Lonchura striata: one gene and its partner. The protein of the gene in region 1 purifies or fractionates together with the protein of each later gene. This does not show direct contact. Links are inferred from orthologs where the notes say so. Each region holds a gene or a part of one and is shown in the gene's direction. Other genes may lie near its edges.

What was found. Proteins that work in one complex are often made in the same cells at the same time.
Region 2: the proteins of LRWD1 (region 1) and ORC4 purify together in Homo sapiens (affinity purification with mass spectrometry; 3 studies listed by BioGRID and IntAct, with this or other methods). This does not show direct contact. The link is inferred for Lonchura striata from reciprocal best matches to the Homo sapiens genes LRWD1 and ORC4.

Annotation. Positions count from the first base shown.
Region 1 is NC_134622.1:5,607,284-5,611,027, forward strand, and holds the start of LRWD1 (leucine-rich repeat and WD repeat-containing protein 1), read left to right. Parts: upstream 1-1,484; 5' UTR 1,485-1,569; intron 1,570-3,744. Other genes in the region: ALKBH4 (alpha-ketoglutarate-dependent dioxygenase alkB homolog 4), read right to left, coding at 1-140, 580-777, 1,389-1,484. UniProt on the Homo sapiens protein: Required for G1/S transition. Recruits and stabilizes the origin recognition complex (ORC) onto chromatin during G1 to establish pre-replication complex (preRC) and to heterochromatic sites in post-replicated cells.
Region 2 is NC_134610.1:2,483,163-2,486,906, forward strand, and holds the start of ORC4 (origin recognition complex subunit 4), read left to right. Parts: upstream 1-1,391; 5' UTR 1,392-1,511; coding exon 1,512-1,580; intron 1,581-1,625; exon of another isoform or gene 1,626-1,741; intron 1,742-2,715; coding exon 2,716-2,787; intron 2,788-3,511; coding exon 3,512-3,588; intron 3,589-3,744. UniProt on the Homo sapiens protein: Component of the origin recognition complex (ORC) that binds origins of replication. DNA-binding is ATP-dependent. The specific DNA sequences that define origins of replication have not been identified yet.

The DNA of each region.
Region 1 (3,744 bases):
CACTGTTCCACAGGTAAGAAACCACTGAGCAGAGCACAGGCCTTCATCTGTGCCACAATCTTCCTGCTGAAACTCGGCAAGCCGGTAAAGCTGCCAGCTTTCAGCCTTTGTTTCTTGAAGTTCACTTTGGGCCCATAGTCCTGTTGGAAAAGAAGAGGGAGGGAAAAGCTAGTGTAAAGGAAAAATCTAGGCCAAGTCTTTTTGGAGAGGCTGTTCCTGCAGAGTTCTGTTCTCATCTCTTTCCAGTGACCTGGTTGCCAGGTTGCAAAAGGACTTAGTGAATCTACATTAATCTCTCTGGATTTATAAAGTAAAACTAAATCTGAACACCCACCTCTTTCCCTTGGAGATTGTGTGAACTTTAATGCTTGAACACACACCATCAAATTCTGTTATGTTATAACTATCATGAGTTTTTGCAAGAAGTTGATTTTAATTACAGGTAATTCTTGACATTGATTCAGGAAAAGCTTTCAAAGGAAAACACTTAATGAAGCATCTCAATATTTTGGCTTTTAACTGAAAACAGCTTTACTTTTCCAGAGGTATCTAAGATGTGTTGTGCTTTCAAAGTCCAACCTGTTTCTTTCGGCCAGACTGTGATGGTTTCCAGTCATCTCGATCCATCAGTTCCACTATCTCACACTCTTCATCTTCACTAATGAACTCCTCCACCAGGAACACCCCTGGAAAGGGAAATGCCCAGCCAGCAAATTCCGAGTGCTCATTTCCTTTAGCTAGGCCTGTTGCTGGACAGTAAGTGAAATTATCTTCTCCCTGTGGAAATTTCAACGGAAAAGAACAAAGAAAGCAATAAGATATTTCCATTATTTACCCCTGCAACCTTGCTACTGCAGCATGAAAACTGTACGGTATTCTTGCAGGAAAGATAAATTTTACAGATGGTTTTGGGGAAACAGCTATTCCCTGCTCTTTTTTTTTTTTCTTTTTTTCCAGCTGCAGCATCAACGTGCTGCTTGCTTGAAGCCACTTTTTTTCCCCTAGTGATGTCTTTATCCTGGAAAGGCAGGGAAGAACCGATGATGCTCAGGGCCACAGGTATAAGGAGATTAATGGTGGGCATTGCTGCAGAGATACGGTTTGTCGTAGCGATAAATGCCGAATGAGGGAAGTTGACGAAAATCGCGCGGGCCGCAAGGCTGAGCCGTAACAAATGAACGCGAACGTAACACGCGAGGCTCAGGTGAGCTCCCGCTGGGCTTCCGCGCCTTATTGAGGCCAACAATTCACGGTACCGGCGGGGCTCCGCCTCGTCCCTGCCGTGCGACCCCGGCGTCCCGGCCCCGCTCCGGGCACGGGGGTCCCGCCCCGCCGCCCCGGTTCCTCCGCCCGCCGCCCCGCCCCGCCGCCCGCCCCCTCCCCGGTACCTGCGGGGGCGGAGCGGCCGCCGCGGGCCCCTCGCAGAGCAGGCAGGAGCGGATCCCCTTGCAGCCGCAGCCCGCCGCTCCGCCCGCCGCCTGCATCCCGAGGACGCGGCCGCCCCGTCCCGCTGCTCCTCCCGCCCTTCCTTCCTCCCCGGCTCCTCTTCCTCCTCCCCGGCCGCTCCAGGTGAGGGCAGCGGGGCTGGGCGCAGGCCGCGCGGCCGGGCAGCGGGGGTGGAAGAGGGGGGTGCGGGCGGACTCGCGCTCCCAGCAGCCCCCGCGTCGCGGCAGGGCTCCGCGCTGCTGTTCGGCGCCGCGGGGGACGCTGGGAGTTGTAGGCGCGGCGCACGCCCCGCGAGGGCGCCTCAGGCCGCGGCCGGCGCCGGCCCCTCGCGGTGCTCGGAGTCCGGAGGCGGCGGTGACGGGCCGGGACCGCGCCTGCCCCGCCCGGACCGGGCCGGCCCTGCCCACGGGCGGAGCCGCGGCCTGCGCCCGCAGCCGGTAATATCCCGCGGCCCGGAGGCCGCCGCGGCGTGTGCGGACAGCCCCGGCATCCGTGGCCTTGTCACCATGGCGGCATGGCGTCCCGGGCGGTGCGGGGCAGCTCCAGGCGGGCACGGTCCGGCCAGGGGGATGCCCGGCTGCGGGGCTCCATCCCCAGAGCTGCGGTGGGGCAGGAGCGGCCTGATCCCGGGGAATAACCCCGGCGTTCAGTAGCCCCGCGGTACCCGAACGGCCCTCCGCAGCATCACCGCGGTGTGCGGGATGGGACACGCCGTGTGCGGCCTTCCCTGCGGCCCCTGCCCCGGCACAGCCGGCTCTGGGTGTCACTGCTGTCCTGGCACAGCCGGCTCTGGGTGTCACTGTGCTGCCCAGGCACAGCCGGCTCTGGGTGTCACTGTGCTACCCCGGCACAGCCGGCTCTGGCTGTCCCTGTGCTGCCCTGGCACAACCGGCTCTGGGTGTCACTGCTGTCCTGGCACAGCCGGCTCTGGGTGTCACTGTGCTACCCTGGCACAGCCGGCTCTGGGCGTCCCTGTGCTGCCCTGGCACAGCCGGCTCTGGGTGTCACTGTGCTACCCTGGCACAGCCGGCTCTGCTGGCACAGCCGGCTCTGGGTGTCACTGTGCTGCCCTGGCACAGCCGGCTCTGGGCGTCCCTGTGCTGCCCTGGCACAGCCGGCTCTGGGTGTCACTGTGCTACCCTGGCACAGCCGGCTCTGCTGGCACAGCCGGCTCTGGGTGTCACTGTGCTGCCCTGGCACAGCCGGCTCTGGGTGTCACTGTGCTGCCCCGGCACAGCCGGCTCTGGGTGTCACTGCTGCCCCGGCACAGCCGGCTCTGGGTGTCACTGCTGCCCTGGCACAGCCGGCTCTGGGGGCTCAGTGTGCCAAAGAGAGGGTGATGGCAATGTCCAGTCACTGGTATCACAATTCTATTGTAGACACAGGATCTGAGGGAGGTTTGGTTGAACAAGCCTGACCCCGTGGTTTGACTCTCAGGGAGAACTCTGTTGTTTGAAGGATCAAATCCCAAACAGCTGCTGTTTAATCTGGTTTTCAGTTCAGCTCTCTGTGCTTGTATACAGTATTTCAGTGTATACAATATTGTAGTTCCCCGTTGCTCATCACACAATGTTGCAGGTGCTGGAGGTGTGTGGTGCTGCTGAAACCAAAGCCAAGGACAGCTCAGTGCCCTGTGTGCCCCTCACGATGTGCTGGAGTGGCATTTAGGCAGCACTGATCTAACACAGAATGACAGGAGTGAGCCTGGCCTTGGAGCTCTGTTCTCTTTTATTCCCCTCTCTTGGAATCTGTGTCAGGAGGAGTGGGCGGGCCTGGTCCAGTCATTTGTGCAGCTCTTTTGGCCCTGTCAGCGCTGTTATTCCAAATATCAGCATATCCCTCCATGTGTGTGTGTGTCTACTGAAACATCAGTTAATCACCAACAAGACAGAGAACTGTTAATTTTTTTTGTCCTTGATAGGTGTGTCTTTGAATTTCTGCTGGTTAATTCAGTTTTCCAAAATTTTTGGGAATTCAGAAGTCATCAGGCAAGAGTCTGTTCAGGCCAGTGAGCTCGGTGTCACTTTCTTGGGAAAAAAACATTCACAGCAGGTGTATTGACTCTTTTTGTTTGAAAGAGTGTTGGAATTCCTGGAGCAGAGCCCGGGAGAGGCACAAACAGGTACCTGTGATGCTGTCCTGGTCCTGAGTGCCATCACTCATGGACAGCTTTCACCTGCAGCAGGTCTGTCACTCCAACAGCCCCGGGATGTATCCCTGTTGTTTTGGAGATGGATTGGATTAGTGTGCTGGAAGCCTGTGCCCAATCTAATAATAGCCTCTGCCATGTTCATTTCA
Region 2 (3,744 bases), on another chromosome or scaffold:
TTTCCCTCGAACCAGCAGAAAACATGGTCAGGTCAGTCCACCAGCAGCACCTGACCAACACCGTGAGCGGGGATGGAGACGCTTGGCCTTCCCAGCAGAAAGCCATGGAAAAACACATCCCGACATCTATATCCCAACAAACCATTGACCAAATATAGCCGGGCACCACCGATAACCAGGGGCTGCTACCAAACCACATCCCAACCCTGCAAACACCAAGTCCAGCTCCTGGACTGCCTATCCCTGGAAGTTGAGCTCGGGAAAGGGTCTTTGTACAAGTGGTCTTTGTACCTTCACCACCGCAGGGGTTTAATAACTCAAACAATAAGTCAAACAACGGCCTGGAACCTGGGGGGGGGCAACGCCGGGGCTGGGTGTTATCCCAGGAAAACAAGACTTTCGGGACTCGGCCGGGGCTCAGCACCCACCGCGCCACCCCGAACTTTGCCCGGCGCCCCCGCCACCATCACCCCCCTTCCCGTGCCGCTCCGGAGGGGCCCAAGGAGCATCCCCGGAGCATCCCCCGACAACAAAGCTGGGGCGGGGGGCGCCGGGAAGGGGCCCCGGGTGACAGGCGGTGCCCCCCGGGGCAAACGGGGGGTAACCGCGGGGTAAACAAACAGCCCCCCCCGCCCCGCCGCTCCCCCCGCACTCACCTCAGGGCCCCCGGGCGCGGGGAGGAAGGCGGAGACGCACACAAAGGGTAATAAAGGGGGAGGAGGAGGAGGGAGCGGCGCTCCGCGGGGCCGCCCCCAAGGGACGGGGGTGGGGGGGCGGTCTCGGTGTGTGTTTGAGGGGGGATGTGGAAGAAACTCCCCGGCGGGGCTGCGGCGGGGGCAGCGACTCGGGGCCCCCCGCCCCCGCCTCGGCGCGGCGCTGCTTGCTTCGCGTCCCTTCAGCGGCGCGAACAACCGGCCGTCCCGCCGCCGCCCCCCCCCGCGCTCCTCCTCATCGCCGCCGCCGCTGTCGGGAAGGAGGAGGAGGAGGAGGAGGAGGAGAAGGAGGAGGAGGAGGAGGAAGAGGAGGGCAGGCAGCAGCGGCGGCCGCCACCGCGCATGCGCCCCGGGGGAGCTCGGGAGGCCGCGGGGAGGAAAGGGGGGGGGAAACGGGGGGGTGGGGGGTGAGGGGGGGGGGGACGACGACTTCCCACAGCGCCGCGCGCGCCGCTCCCGGAAACGGATCCGGGATGGGGAGGAAGGAAGTGGATGAGGGGGGATGGAAATGGACGGGGAGGAAGTGACGGGAGCGGAGCGGAGGGGAGGGGAAGGGGGAAAGGGAAAGGGAGGGCAGCGGGCAGCGCGCGGTGACGTCAGGGGGGCGGCGCGCGCGCGGGCCGGTGGGAGCGCGCGTGCGCGGCGGGCCCCGCCCTCAGGTGGGGGGGGGGGGGGGAGAGGCGGGAAAGCGCCGTGAGGGCAGCGCGGGCAGGTGAGGGAGAGCCGGCCTCCGCCTCAAACTCAGCCACCGCCTCAGCCTCCGCCTCAGCCGGGCGGGACGTGCCCGAGCAGCGGAGGATGCGCCCCACCGCCCGCCCTTCATCCGCTCGGGCTCCGGCGTCTCTGAGGGAGCCGCGGTTACAGCCTGTGAGGAGGGAGCTGCGGGAGCGGTTTCTGAGGGGGATGAATGGCTGCTGGGGCGGGGGGAGGTCTTGGCTGCCCGGTGAGGGCTGAGGGGAGCGTGCGAGCGGTGGTGGCCGCCCTCGGGTGATGGAGGAGAGGCGGGACACGCCGTGAGGGGAGGACAGGTGAGGCCAGGACAGCACCCCAGGACAGCACCCCAGGACCCTCCAAGCCCTGTAGGGCCTCCCCCCATTTCCTCAGGGTCCTCCCAAAACCCGCCCTCAGCGCCCCCACAGCCTCTCATGGACCCTCCCAAGCTCTTTGAGGTATCTCCATTCCCTCATCAGGGTCGTCACGGACTCTCCCAGCCCCGAAAAATCAGACCTCCCACCTTCCCCATTCCCACAGCCCTTCCCCAGCTCCCTCATGGACACTCTCGCCCCCATCCCCATTCCTTTCCAGAGCATTCCCAGACCCTCCTAGCCCCCATAAATTCCTCACTCCAAATCCCTCAGGACCACCCCTAAACCCTTCCCAGGACCACTTCTAAGTCCCCCTCAAGACCTGTAATTCCTCTCCAAATCCCCCTTAGAGCCTCCCTCAGGCCCTCTTGAATCCCCCTCAGAACCCTCTCAAACTTCTCAATCCCATCATGATCCCCCTCAAGGACCCCCAATCCCTAAAGTTTTCCCCCCTGACCCCCTCTGAATCTACCCAAATCTCTTTAGAGACCCCCCCAATCCCCTTAGGACCCCTTCAGAGCCAGCTTGTCCAGAGAGATGCTGTGGTTAATGTTATAAACAAGGATGACCAGTTATTCCTGTAAAAACTTAACTGTTTGTCTTGATGTGTTCCCGTGTGCTTGTAGCTTGTTCCAGCTGCAGAAACATAAGGACATTATTTTAAACTGCCTAAAGCATCCTAAAGCCAGTGCTGTTTAGGAGATGTGTGTCAACATAGGTTTATCAGGAATAAATTTAAAATTATTTCAGTGTTTTTCAGCTGTTTTTCACTAGGGAGATGGACTGTTGCATCTTTATTAGTTAAGAACAGATGTTCATTACAGTACTTAAAAATGATCGACATCTAAGTACAGTTTCGGACTGGGATTGTTTGGAAATGCTTAATTAATGAAATGCTTATTTTCTCTTCTCCAAAGATGAAACATTCTGCAACAAACAAGCGAAAGTTGAAGGAGAGCAGTGCAGAAAGTGCTGAGAACATTTCCCAGGTCAGTAACACCTTTATTCATTACTTTCTTTTCACATTCTGGACCTTTTCCACCCTGTGCCATTGATATAATTTATCTTTTTTCCTAGGCCAGTTATAAAGCCTGGCAGATACAATTGTTAGGGCACTAAATAGCTTTTGTCCCTGTGTTTCAGCTTCCCACCTGTTGATTGCTTCAAGTGTTACTGTTATAATGCAGTAAAAAACTTAAAGGATGTTCTTGTACTTCTGCAACTCTTTGTGGCAACAGATTTGCCTAAATCTATTTTTGACCATTTAGGTTTTCTTATCTTCCAGTTTGTAGGGTGAGTCAGAACCCAGGTGACATTTTTAGCAACAGAACAGCAGCTGCCAAATCAGTTTTTAATTTGTTTTGGTTTTTTTAACCTTTATTCTCCTGTTTTCTCAAAGTTGCTGGTTAAAAACTGTAATGCATCTTGCAAGGAATTACCCCTGGATCAGTGATTTCCTATATGTTTTAATATCTTCTAATTGCTTTTTCTCCCTTATATAATATTTATACAATACTCTGCCTCCTGCAACTTTATTCTTACTTTCAAGACCATTCTATCCTTGGTAACAGTAAAAATGTATGTATTATAGAATATTTTCTAACACCACAAAAGCACCTAATTTGCTGTTATTTTATTGCTGGAGTTACATGATTGGTAAATTCTGGTGTTTGGAGCCCCAGACATTTTTCCTGCGCTGTGTTACATCCCTAGGTGCAAAAAATCTTACGTGAAAGATTCTGTCACCACTGTGCTGCTGGAAAACTGTTTGGGATGGAGCAGCAGTACAGGTGAGTGAGCAGGCTCTAGGATTCAGTGATTTCTAATTTAACTGCAGTGGTAAAATAGTTTGCTGAAGTCAGAACTTTCTGCCTCTCTGTTTTACTAAGTTATATAGGTTCACTTCCAACCCAGTGCTTCCAAAAGTTATTTGCCTCAGATTGTGT